Linked DNA regions of Lepisosteus oculatus. The protein of the gene in region 2 purifies or fractionates together with the protein of the main gene of each other region. This does not show direct contact. Links are inferred from orthologs where the notes say so. Each region holds a gene or a part of one and is shown on either strand. Other genes may lie near its edges.

Region 1 (5,992 bases), on a different chromosome or scaffold from region 2:
AATATTAAGCAAACACAGAGCATCTTCTAGACCATTTTAAATTAGTTTCCTATTAATTTAGGAGTATTTCCAATGTTGAGAGTTTTTTCCTCACCACGTAATTATTTTTTTTTTGCACAAAGTGTCCCACTGCACTTATACAGTAGGAGCCACAGCACAATTATCAGAAGCAATGAGGAGATCACAGTACAGCAGAGGGAGTGCATTTCTCACCAAAGAGCTCAATGTAGACTTCTTGGAGGGTGTGCACACTGCAGAACTGGTTCAGCTCGTGATGAATCTTGTTGAAGATCAGGGCCTTGTCATAGTCTGCAGTGAAGTTCCTCACAATATCGTATACTCCAGGTAGAGACAAAGAGAGTGGGAGAGAGACTCAGATTCATGCATGCTCACATGGGTTTTCTCCAGATGTGCCAGTTTCCTCTCATCTTTTTAATAACATGCTGGCTGTGTGTTGAGACTAGCATACCATCCGAGGTGTGATCCCACCTTACAGCAACACCAATTAGAGACTATAACAAGAACAAGCAGCCTTCTAATGACTGACAGATGGAGATGTGATAAACGTGCATGATTAAAGGACCCTGTAACCATGTTAATAATGGGTGTGCCCCTGTAGGTAAGGGAATTACCTGCTGAAGGGATGAGAAAGTTGACCACCTCTATCCTGTCAAAGTAGATCATAACACCGCCACTGCCAAGAGATCATAGAAACCGGAGTGAGGAAACAAATCTGTTCTCACTTCAGTTGTAGTCTATACCCGTGTTGTAATAGGAGTATATCTTTAATATTTGCAGGTGTAACTTGTACAGATCAGAAATCAAGATACAGATATAGAGTAAATATACAGGTGCTGAAGAACACAATAACAGTTGGAAGCAGGAGGAGGCCATTTCCTCGTGTGGTAAAAGATAAGCCAGTGAAAACTCATTATCAAGATTGTTCAACGCTGCCAAACCACTGTGAAAGAACAGTAATATTAGCACTAGTGGTAATCTGAACTATTCGAGTTATAATCAGTATTATTCAAATAAAGGCAAGCAAGAAAACCCATCAATATCTCACCTTGTTCCACAAGGGACGTTTTTAACCTCATCTGTTTGTAATGTCGTCTGCAGAATAAAGAACAAGAATGAACCAAACAGTGCAGAAAGCAAAAACATCAATGCACTATAACTATGTAGCTTCAATACTGATCTTATAAGAAAAGGGCTGTTGAGTGAGATAGTTTAATTTCATGGGATCAATCCAACCATGTGATCTGTTACACACTTTCTGTATTTAGTAATCACAGGTGGATCTCCAATAAACTGAACTTTGTTTTAGCTCAATGATGCCTTTGTAAAATTCCCATACCGTATACAGTTCTAAAAGCTTGCAAAAGGAAATCTTCCAGTCTGTCACCACTTGATTCATTTAGGAAAAAAAAAGATTCATCTCCTGCCGCTTAACATTATGGAAAAAAAAAGACATTTCTACAAATAGTTACAAGAAACTTTGACATTTTATGAATTTCGGATAGAACTGAGGGATTCATTTGACGTGGCAAAAACAGTTGTTAGTGTGGCCACAAGCGAAACAAAAGCAAAAGGTTAAAGATCTTGAACTCAAACTTGGAAAAACTGCCTTCATTCCAATTTCATGCAGATTCTACAGTTCTATGTATGGATAGATACAAACGCTCTATTTGTATTCAACACTTAAAAAAAAAAGTACAGAGTTACAAAGGCAAACGTTCACACGAATACCCACCTGCACGGATTTGTAAGAGGTGATGAAGGGCAACATTAGATGGAACCCAGGACCACTGGTGGACGTCAAGAGGGCACCACCCCTGCAGAAGGCAAGGAAAACAGTGAAAGTGACTGAGAAAGAGGAAAAATAAAGCCGTGACTATAACCCATCCATTTTCTGACCACTGTATCCAATACAGGGTCACGGAGAAGCCGGAGCCTATCCTGGAAAGCAACAGGCACAAGGCTTGATACCCCCTGACAATGACACACAAGTTTATTGCGAGGCACACACAGAACCACTCATACCAGGGCCAATTTTCCCAGATGCCAATTAACCTACCAGTATGTCTCTGGACTGTTGGAGGAAACCCACATGAACACAGGAAACACATAACAACTCCACGCAGATAGCACCAGAGGAACTGAACCCAGGGCACCAGCGCCGTGAGGCAGCAATGCTAAGCACTGCACCACCGTGCTGCCCTTGTCACTATAACCACCTTGAAAAGTATTTTAACAGCCCCGTCCATTTGCAGCCCGATTTCATGACTTTGCACCGTTTGAGCAATGCAAAACTCTCGCTCGCGAGCCGCGGGCAGAGCAGACGGGGCACCGGTGGCACCAGTGAAGTGAGCCGTGGCCACTGACCTGTAGTACACCCCGATGTGCCCCTCCTCGATCTTGTGCACAGAGGAGAACAGGGCAGCGGCGGTGATCGCCATGACGACGGAGGCGATGGCGCCGAGCTGCGTCATCCTGGGGGGAAGAAGCAGAAGTCAGACGCGACCCAGGACCGGGAGTTCAGCATCATGTCAGGGCTGCTGGCACTGGACTGCTGACACCCTCTAAGCTGCGGCACACATCGCCTCCATAAAGCAAAGGCAATCCAAATAATTATTCTTATTTAGTTAGTTATTCATCAAATACTCCCCCCCCCACAAAGTGTACACTTTGGAGAAACAGGATTCTTCTGATGCAAAAACATCATGTGGATTGGTAATCCGAAGAACAAGTCTTGGAGCCCCCACTCTTAACTGAGAATGTCAGTCATACTGTGCTCATGTGACTGGCTGTTTCCATGTAATAAAACCTCTTCCAGCATCAACACACTGATTCCTGAAGCCCCTTTTTAAAATTTCTTCAGGAAATTCTTCACAGGAACAGTCTATTTAGTGTAAAGTGTAAAGAAAAATAGATCTAAATACCTTCGCATTCCAGTGCCACAACATAGTGGGCAGAATTGTGGTTATTTTTAACACATTTGTCAAGGTGCAGATCTCCAAGTTCTAGATAACTCTTCTGCACCTTTATTTCTTTAACTTCATTTGAGGTTATCATCTCAAACTCCTTTCCACAATATAGTGCACAGCTAGTTTTACATAGTGGTTTATGTCACTACACACTGTGTAATATATTAGACTTTTTAAACAAAGCATTGCTTAATCTGCATTGCATCTTGGAGAGGTGCTGGCCAGTGGCTACATAACCCGGTGGAAATAATATTAATTTAAATAACCAATACATTTGTCATGGAAAGCACTGGTTTCGACAACACTTCGAGGATCGCTCAAACTTTGACTCAATGTGCACATTTCCTGGAACTCACTGACCGGTAACCTAAGATCTTAGAACAAATAAGCCAACAGCTGCTCACTCAGAGCAAACCTGCAGCCGGAACTCGCCGGTGTAGGATCTTACAATAGGATATATGACCCCGTGTTTCTCCTGATATTAAGAGGATTCGCCTGAGAGAAGGAGGGAGATTTTATCTGCTCAGCGGTTACTAGTTCGATATAATCCCGTTGTCCGAATTTCAGTACAGCCTGCATTCATTTAAGGTAAATGACCTTTTCAGTCCGCTGCCTTAACTAACATTTTTGTACTTCTTCTGTTGAATAATGTCACCCATACGATGTGATGTTACACGTCTTGCGTCAGGATACAAACAAGGAGCAAATACGCCTGTTATTCCTTTAACTGCTATTCCAACACAGAGCCTTAACGCAACGTCATTTATCTTTATAGTGCAGACAGTCATAATCAGAAGAACACATTCGAAGGTTGGTTAGAGTAACCGAAACTGAAGTTAATTAAGTCCATCTGTGTTTAAGAAATGTATCACACTATGAAGTCCAGACATACATGGTATTGACGACTATGGGATTTTTGAGACAGAAACACCTTTGTATAGTCCAGTGTCGAGATAATTCGGCCCCCGCTTTAAAGTAACATATCTCGAATCGCCTTACCTGTTCGCGTTCGCTCCAGAGAAATTAATCACCTGCACGACCACTTCCGGAAAAGATACAAGCGCTCTAGTGATTTGGTCTGTGATGTCTATGGTAGAATGAAATACATTGTGGTGCAGAGACTGCCATCTACAGTAGCGGAGTGAAACAGATATTACCGACTTAAAGCATATTTTATGTATTGATTAATGCCAAGTGTCCAATCATGTTTTTACTGTAGATGTCTGCTAAATGTTTCTGTTTTGGCAACGCAGTAATGTTTCGGTCATGTCAATAAAGCTCTTGGAATCTGACATTCAGTCCTGGTGATGGAGGGATGACGTGCCTTCTGTTTTCTAGTACACTACAGCCTGCACAGCTGATGACGTGTGTGAAATCAATAGTTCAAAGTAATATTGTTTGTGTTAACAGGGTCCAGGTTGCTTGTACTCACGGGGGATTTAAAATTATTCGGAAAACCTGGTGGACTACACTGTCCAGCCCGAGACGGGGTCTCAATGTAACAGTCCAAGCCAGTCGAACAGAGAGAGGTACAACGATAACTGGAATATGCGCAAGTACCAAAAACAGCAGGAAAAAGGCAGGAAATGCCAAACATTGCTCCCCCACATAATCTCCCCCTGTCGCACAATGTTGGTTGCGTGTACTGTGACATTCCAGCAAGTTTTCTGGGTCACCCTTAACTCACTGATGTCTAAACGCATGCCCAATTTAGTTTTCATCACCTATGCAAGTCGTCAGAGAAGTAATTGATGGATTGTTTGAAATAAATACTCTAACTGCAGGAAGCTCATAAGCACCACGGCCCGGCCATTCGCGTTGTAGGAGACCCAACTTACTAAAGAGCTCAAAACTCACATGATATCTTAGGCTTTACAAATAGATGACTTGCAGGTGACCTACCAGACCTGATGGATTCTGACTCTCCCGGGCTAGGGGTGGCTATCCCTGTAATATAATACTTTTTGCTAGCATCGCAAATTGGTCAGTTTCACAAGTAGATTTCTCCCATAGATCTGCAAAATGTTATTGCTCAACATGTAAAGGTAAATGTTAAATTGAAAGATTTTGATATTGTAACGCTCTCGGGTTCACGTGGGTATGCGCCCTCGCCACTGCCGCCGCAGGTCGGCCCCCCACCGCTGGGGACTCGAACCCAGGCCTCTGGCGTCACTCCACAGGGAAGTCTCCCATCAGCCTGGCAGCTGCGGTGATGTCACGGCGCTGGAAAGCCGGCTCGCACAACCTGCAATGTCGGCCGTATGCGTTACACTCTCCCCCGCTTAATTCGCTGTCCTCGGCAAAGGGCTTTCCCATCCCACTCCTGACACCAATGTAGCGCCCTCGCTGCTCCTCCCTCAGGTCAGCCCCCCACCGGTGGGGACTCGAACCCAAGCCTCTGGCATCACTCAGCAGGGACCGCAGCTGATGGGTGATTTAGCTTAAGCTCAACTGGCTGGGTCCCTGTTGAGTGACGCTGGAGGCCTGGGTTCAAGTCCCCATCAGTGGGGGGCCAACCTGAGGTGGCAGTGGCGAGGGTGCATATTCACGTGAGCCCGAGAGCACTACAATATTATTTTATAATTTGTTAGATCTGATTTGGATAAAGGATATGATTTTATTATTAATCTGTTAATTATTCTGGCAAAATACTTTATCCACAAACGTAAATGGTCAAATACTGCTCCCTCTATTCATGCTTTTAAAGTTGAGTTCCTTTTTAATTTAAATTCTATTAGAAATTTAAAGAATCAAAAGGCAAGACATACAATGGAAATATCCAATAAGTTAATATAATTTTTAAATTTATAATTTTTAGTTTTCACAATTGTGAATTCCTCTGGCTTTGAAGTGTCTATTTCTGTATATATTTCATATTATTCTGCCTCCTTTTTTGTATTTCTGGTGTTTTAAAAAAAAATTAAGAAAACATATTTATCCCATAATGCCCAAAGTGCCTGCGTCATTGAATCGCGCCTGATACGTTCGTGAGGACACGAGAGGTG
Region 2 (5,992 bases):
GATGGAGTTTTCCCCCTCATTCATGTGAGTTTCCCCTGAATGCTCCAGTTTCCCCCCAGCACCCAACTTCTCTAAATTGTGTCTTTAGTTTCGGGGACTTCATAGGAGTGACGTTGTTGCCAGTGCAACCAGCACTGTCTATAAAAATTTAAATAGAACCAAATCAGCACAATGTGCTAAATCCTCTCCTCCTATATGTTACATTTCTGATGTTTGGATTGCATCATCTATTATCCATCATACAGTAGTCATAACTTCCAGTATGATGCAAGTAGCTCATCATGCGTGTGTTCTGGATGACTGGATAGACCCAAACGTTTAAACTCAAACTGTCATTTTGTGAACAATCCCAGCATTTCACAAGTACATTGAGTGAGTTAATCTGTTGTTTTAATTCGGTTTTAGCACTACAACACCTAAAAGACTTCACAACATTGACCACAGCTCCATAATCAGAATACCGGCAGACATTTACTTGAGATGTCACGGTCTCATGAGCTGAAAACAGTTTTTTAACAGTGAACATTAGATAACAATAAAAAAAACATTCACAGGTATAGTGCTGGCATTGATACAACTATTCAAGACCCCAGACACCTTGTTTTTAAAAACGTTGTATAACAGCAGATTCGCTGTATTTGGTTTCTGTTGTATGACGTTTTGTATGTATGTGACGTTGCATACTTTCACTTTTAACCACTATACACCATAGGTGAGATGAAAATCTTAGGCAGTAGTGCAATAGGATTTAAACCTGAGTTTGCAAGCCTCTTTATAGCAAAACAAAACAAAGTTCAAATGAAGTAAACAGAACATCACACTTAGATGCATGTCTGATAAATTAAACCAATGTTAAACGTTACACAATTCCAAACGCAACTTTCTGTCCCAAACTTTATCTAACATAGCGTGATGTTTAGGTAATCGATCACACCTTGTTATGAATGGCTGCAGCTTTTGCATTAACCTCATTTTGTGCCTTCTCTTCGTTTGCTTCTTTGGCGTATTTGGCACTTGCTTGTTCAGACAACGAAGAGAGACTTTCTGTGTCCGCAGTCTCAACTTCTCTGTTCAAAGATTGACATCCACAGCTTCGACCTGCCGAATTAGAAGAAGAAAGCTGTTCCGCTCTCGTTGTCGCTGATCTCTCTTCGTCTGCTCCATTGGCGTGAGATGCAAAGAAAATATTTATTGAGAAAAAAACAAAGGCGGAGAAGGCTAACATCGTTACAACTTCCTCAGTCCTGCAGTCTCAGACTTAATCATTTCTTTGTGCGTGCAGCCATAGTTGTTTAGCGTCACATGACTAGTCAGCTGACTTTTTGTGTCCGTTCAGCATTGTTTTAATCAAAAAAGCAAAGGCATTGAAAAATCAGTTCTATATTTTGGGTTCCTCCCTTACGTGTGAACACAGTATAAAGCGATGTAACACCATTTAAAAAATAAAACACTAAGATGGCAATCTTAGTGCCTGAGGTCCCAGCAAAGTGCTGTTGCTGAAGTTGTCTTCTCACTGAATTCTTCTTCCGACTGAACTTGACAGAAAAACTGAAGCTGCTTACGCGACTTGTAAAACATACTATTAAACTTGGAAAAATTAGGTTTCATATGAAACTAAAGGATTGCCTTGAAGCAGCTTGCATGCTAGTAGTTAAGATTACCCAGTTTAAAATGTAAGATACATTTTTCGATTGGCTGGTTTCGAATACTTCGGAATAATATCGAGGAAGACGCATATATTCAAAATACCAAATAATTTTGTTAATATATGATAGTTTGGTGTAATGTCGGATAATTTTAGTCCGTTTTGCAATTCTGAAATGAACGAAAAGAGCACGATAAAATAAGTTCACTTCTTTCATATAAAACTACATAGACTCTTCAAGTACCTTTACTTTAACTCCTCCTCCACATAATTGGCAGTATGGGATTTGTAGTTATAAATAGTAATTCTTTACTGTCAACTTTCACTTATCAGTTGATCTATGAAACAACATTTCCCATAGTTCACTGCGGATATATAATAATCGGCAAAGAAGTGCAGCTTTGTAGTGCTCATGTGGAGGTAGTGCAGAGCGGAGTGAAGAGGGGAGGTAAAGCGCTTAAAGATCCGCCTCTTTTTTTCTAACGGGAGTTTAAATAACATGGAATTAAAGGAAAACGGGATCTGGAAAATTATCATCCACTAATTAAGGTTGAAGCGTTGCAGCTCCCAAGACCAGCTCTTCCTTGAGCGAAGGTAAAGTTGTATGCATCTCTGCAGTTTTAAAAGGCAAGCATCTTAACCTGTGTTGTTAGTATTTACTTCTCGTTTAAATGTGTTAAATTTACGACGCACCTTTCAGTCGGTGATCTCCAAGCAACCTCAGATCGCTTTCAATGGAGTTGTTACCGTCAACTTCTTAAGGGGTTCGAATGAGTTCTTGATCGTAAAGCACTAATGAATTCAACTCAAGTTCATCCTGTATGGAAGTGATTACGTTTTAGTTTTTTTACGTTGTATCAAAAATAGGCATAGAATTACATTATGGTTAAGTGATAGTAAAAATCAGAGGAATTGTTAAGATTGTATCCTTTTACGCTATGCGTAACGCTCAGGAGAACTGTTATGGCTTTGCTTTAATAACGCAAGTATTTAGTATTCGTATCGTGTTTAAAAAAAACGTTTAGTCCTCTATTTAATAGATAGCATTCGTAACTCTAAAAACTAGCGTTCACCGTCACTATTGGGAATTCTTTGCGTGCAGTAGCTACAGTACCATTTGATTTTGCAGCACAGCACACCCCATTCCCAAGATTCAACGAATAGTGAAAAGTGCATACCACTGGGCACATATACTACTACATTTTCTACTGCAAAGACTCGCATGTCTGTGCTTTTAAGAGCTTCAAAATGAAGGACATGGAATACAAGGCCTCAGGAAATATGATGTGCGTTTTTAAAATTGTAATACCCTGTTATACTTTGTGTCCGTACTGAAGCCGGCGCGGTACCGGTCTTTTTTGTTCGAGTTGTTCTTAACTTTTAGTCGCGTTCCCAGGATAGCTTAATATGTTCAGTGACAGAATATACGACAGAAAAGAGATTGGGTTATTTGTAATCATTAGCCATTGTGAGTAAAAATCATGTTAAAACTTTTCTGGTGGTTTCATAATATTAAAAATATGACGGAAGGAAGCAGCGTCTATCCGAAGAAGTAACATACCTATACTCCGAACTTGTTGGCTGACCTGACATCATGTGTTTTGCAGAATAAATCCGCTTTTCTGCTTTAAAAGGCATTTTAAGTTTTGTGGACATTATAGGACGTTTATGGGTTCTAGTTAGTAGCCATACAAAAATTCGGAAAAGTGGCTTTGTAATATGAATGTGTTGTAAGCTGCTTTAAAACTGATGTATAATATTTTGAATGAAGTATAGTATTGGAAGATATGATTCATTGTCATTCCCAGCCTTAACATTCTCAAAATATCATTTTAAATACAGTGTTTTGATGATAATAGCTTTAAGTAAGGAGGAGGATAATGACATTACTAAATAAATATGAATGCCCAAATTCATTGTTTTTGTGTCATTGGGAAATTAGTGAACTGTGGTATTTTGATTTCTTTTTTCAAATTTGTAATGCGCCTAGTTTTGTAAATGGTTGGCTCTTGTTTGAAAATTGAACGACGCAATCAGATTAATTTGATAGACAAAACATTCACTGTGTCGCTGATGTACTATAGTATATTGAGCAGTCTTGGTCATAGCCTTCAACACAGGTAAATTATATATGTGTTCTTTTGTGTGTTCTTCAATGACCTTTTGGCTAAAAAAGAAATGGAGAAAACAAAAAGTGTCAGAAACAAAGCAAACAATCAATGAATAAACGACATCAAAACATTCCCAGCATTAATGTCTGCTGAAACCAGTTTGATATTTTTAAACGGACAATTCAATTTCTTTGAGTAGCTCCCCAGTAACTAGTGATGCATAAGTGGACTGACCTCTGTATACTGCGACACAGTTCTTTTTTAGAGCACCGAATGCTCTATTCAGTGTCTTCTAATTAAGTCACTTGTTGCATTTATGTCCAACACTGTATAGCGATTGTGGCTGCCTTGGTAGAAGTAATGAAAAAACATCTGAGTCTTGAGTGGGTGAGTGGGCTGTCATCTTAGAATCAGGCACAGATCATTTGTTCATTTCTGTGCATTTGGGTACAGATGGGAAAGTATGAAGGCAAAGTGTGTGTTGTTGAATTACTGTGCTTATTTACACTGAGCAATGAAAATAAACTGTTCTAGTCGATCGGTAACGTTTAAATGTGGACACCATTTATGTGAGAATATTTATCAAAGTTTGTGTTCCTGAATGTAAGTTGCTTCTTTTTGTGTTTACAATTAATGGTCGACTTCAATAAGGCCACACACTTTTACAAGAAGTACAATGCTTTCAATTCCTTATCTTGTAGGTTTTAACTTAGGTTTTAAGCAGTTGACAGGTTAGAGGTCCCATATCTGCTCTTCTCTGAATTTTTAAAAACATACTTTCTGTATTTTAATGGTAATAAAACTCTTCCCATCACCTCATGCCACTGCTGAAGTAATCATACTTCTGCCGAAGTATCCATTCTGTAAAATCATGCAGTAGTGTGGCTTCACCAATTTACCTTGGGTAAAGAATAATGTAAAGAATAATGGTAGAGGGAGACATTGATCTTCTAAAAATAAAGCCCTGAATGAATTAGAAGAGACTGATGCAATCAGAATCACTAGCAATCTAGTGCAGGAAGCAGTTTGAATGCTGATGTCTGGTTTTTGTGCAAATGGGTATCAATTAGCTTCCCTCTGCTCTTCCTTGGATTTCAGCAGTTCTCAGTGAGAAAAATTGTGTGTGTGTGGTTTGGTACACTGAAACAGGGTCAAACAGGTTGCTGTTTATGGTTTTACTCTTCTCAGAAATGAGTTCCTGAAATACATTCAGTGCCCTCCAGATGAATTGAGGCGACAGTCAAAACTTCTTATGTACAATCAATAAATCTGCAATCATGACATTGACAGGATCTATTTGTCTAATATGATATTTTATGTTTGGGTGATTTCAAGAATACATATGATGATGGAACAGAAGCATGTTTTGTATTCATCCCAGTGATTTCAAGAGACTCTTCTCTGTCTCATTTAGCAGTCTTCTCTGGCTCAAAACCTTTTGTTTTTGACTGCAGCTGAAACCCTAGGAAGAGCAGAAACGGCTAAGTAATACCATGGCTTTACTGTCCCAACACTTTCAGAGGGTGCTGTATCCAGAATTGCTAGGGAGGCAGACTTGGGGCAGTTTTATACGGTATATCTACAAGTGGTCTTTGGAAGTGAATGGTTTCTGGGCAGTCTGGCCTCTGAGTTCCTGCTGGAGTCTCTGACATTTGTTTTGTTGTATGTGTGTCTTCCCACACACAGTGACTCAAGCCCTGCGATGTACTGTACATCTGTGCTAGGCCTTTGGTCTTTCTGAGCAATATCCATTTCAGATTGCATACAGTCTGCTCTCCAATATGGATTTGTTAATATGAAGGTACAGTGGCTTGTAGTGTATTTGGTTTATTTTATGACACAGGGTCCAGTTCATGTTTTATTTACTTGAAGATTATTTTGAGCTAGTAAACTATAGTCAGACATTGGTGATGTCACTGGGTAATTTAATACATGTAACAACATAAGAAAGGAGAGGAAGCCATCCGACCCATCTTGCCTGTTTGCCAGGCGTTGGCTAATAGATTTCAGTAACACATTGAGCCCCTTTTTTGGAAGAAACCAGAGTGTTGTCTTCATCAATGTGGCTTGTTCCATACTCCCAAAGCCCTTTGTGCCTCTTTTTTCTTGTTTTAAAATACACTTTCTTATGCACCTTATCGTAGTAACAGTGGGGTCCTGACATTTTGTGAGGTTTCAGCGCATAGAACTGTTACGAATAGCCAAATTAGTATATAACCAAGTCCACCCCTATACT

Evidence for each region. The genes of interacting proteins can lie anywhere in the genome.
Region 1: the proteins of itpr1b (region 2) and erlin2 purify together in Homo sapiens (affinity purification with western blotting, with the first as the bait; 4 studies listed by BioGRID). This does not show direct contact. The link is inferred for Lepisosteus oculatus from reciprocal best matches to the Homo sapiens genes ITPR1 and ERLIN2.

Annotation. Positions count from the first base shown.
Region 1 is NC_090697.1:68,755,065-68,761,056, forward strand, and holds the start of erlin2 (erlin-2), read right to left. Parts: upstream 4,058-5,992; 5' UTR 3,987-4,057; intron 2,494-3,986; 5' UTR 2,493-2,493; coding exon 2,386-2,492; intron 1,836-2,385; coding exon 1,754-1,835; intron 1,114-1,753; coding exon 1,067-1,113; intron 695-1,066; coding exon 632-694; intron 342-631; coding exon 214-341; intron 1-213. UniProt on the Homo sapiens protein: Component of the ERLIN1/ERLIN2 complex which mediates the endoplasmic reticulum-associated degradation (ERAD) of inositol 1,4,5-trisphosphate receptors (IP3Rs) such as ITPR1.
Region 2 is NC_090699.1:54,884,658-54,890,649, reverse strand, and holds the start of itpr1b (inositol 1,4,5-trisphosphate-gated calcium channel ITPR1), read left to right. Parts: upstream 1-2,048; 5' UTR 2,049-2,272; intron 2,273-5,992. Other genes in the region: sumf1 (formylglycine-generating enzyme), read right to left, coding at 935-1,225. UniProt on the Homo sapiens protein: Inositol 1,4,5-trisphosphate-gated calcium channel that, upon inositol 1,4,5-trisphosphate binding, mediates calcium release from the endoplasmic reticulum (ER).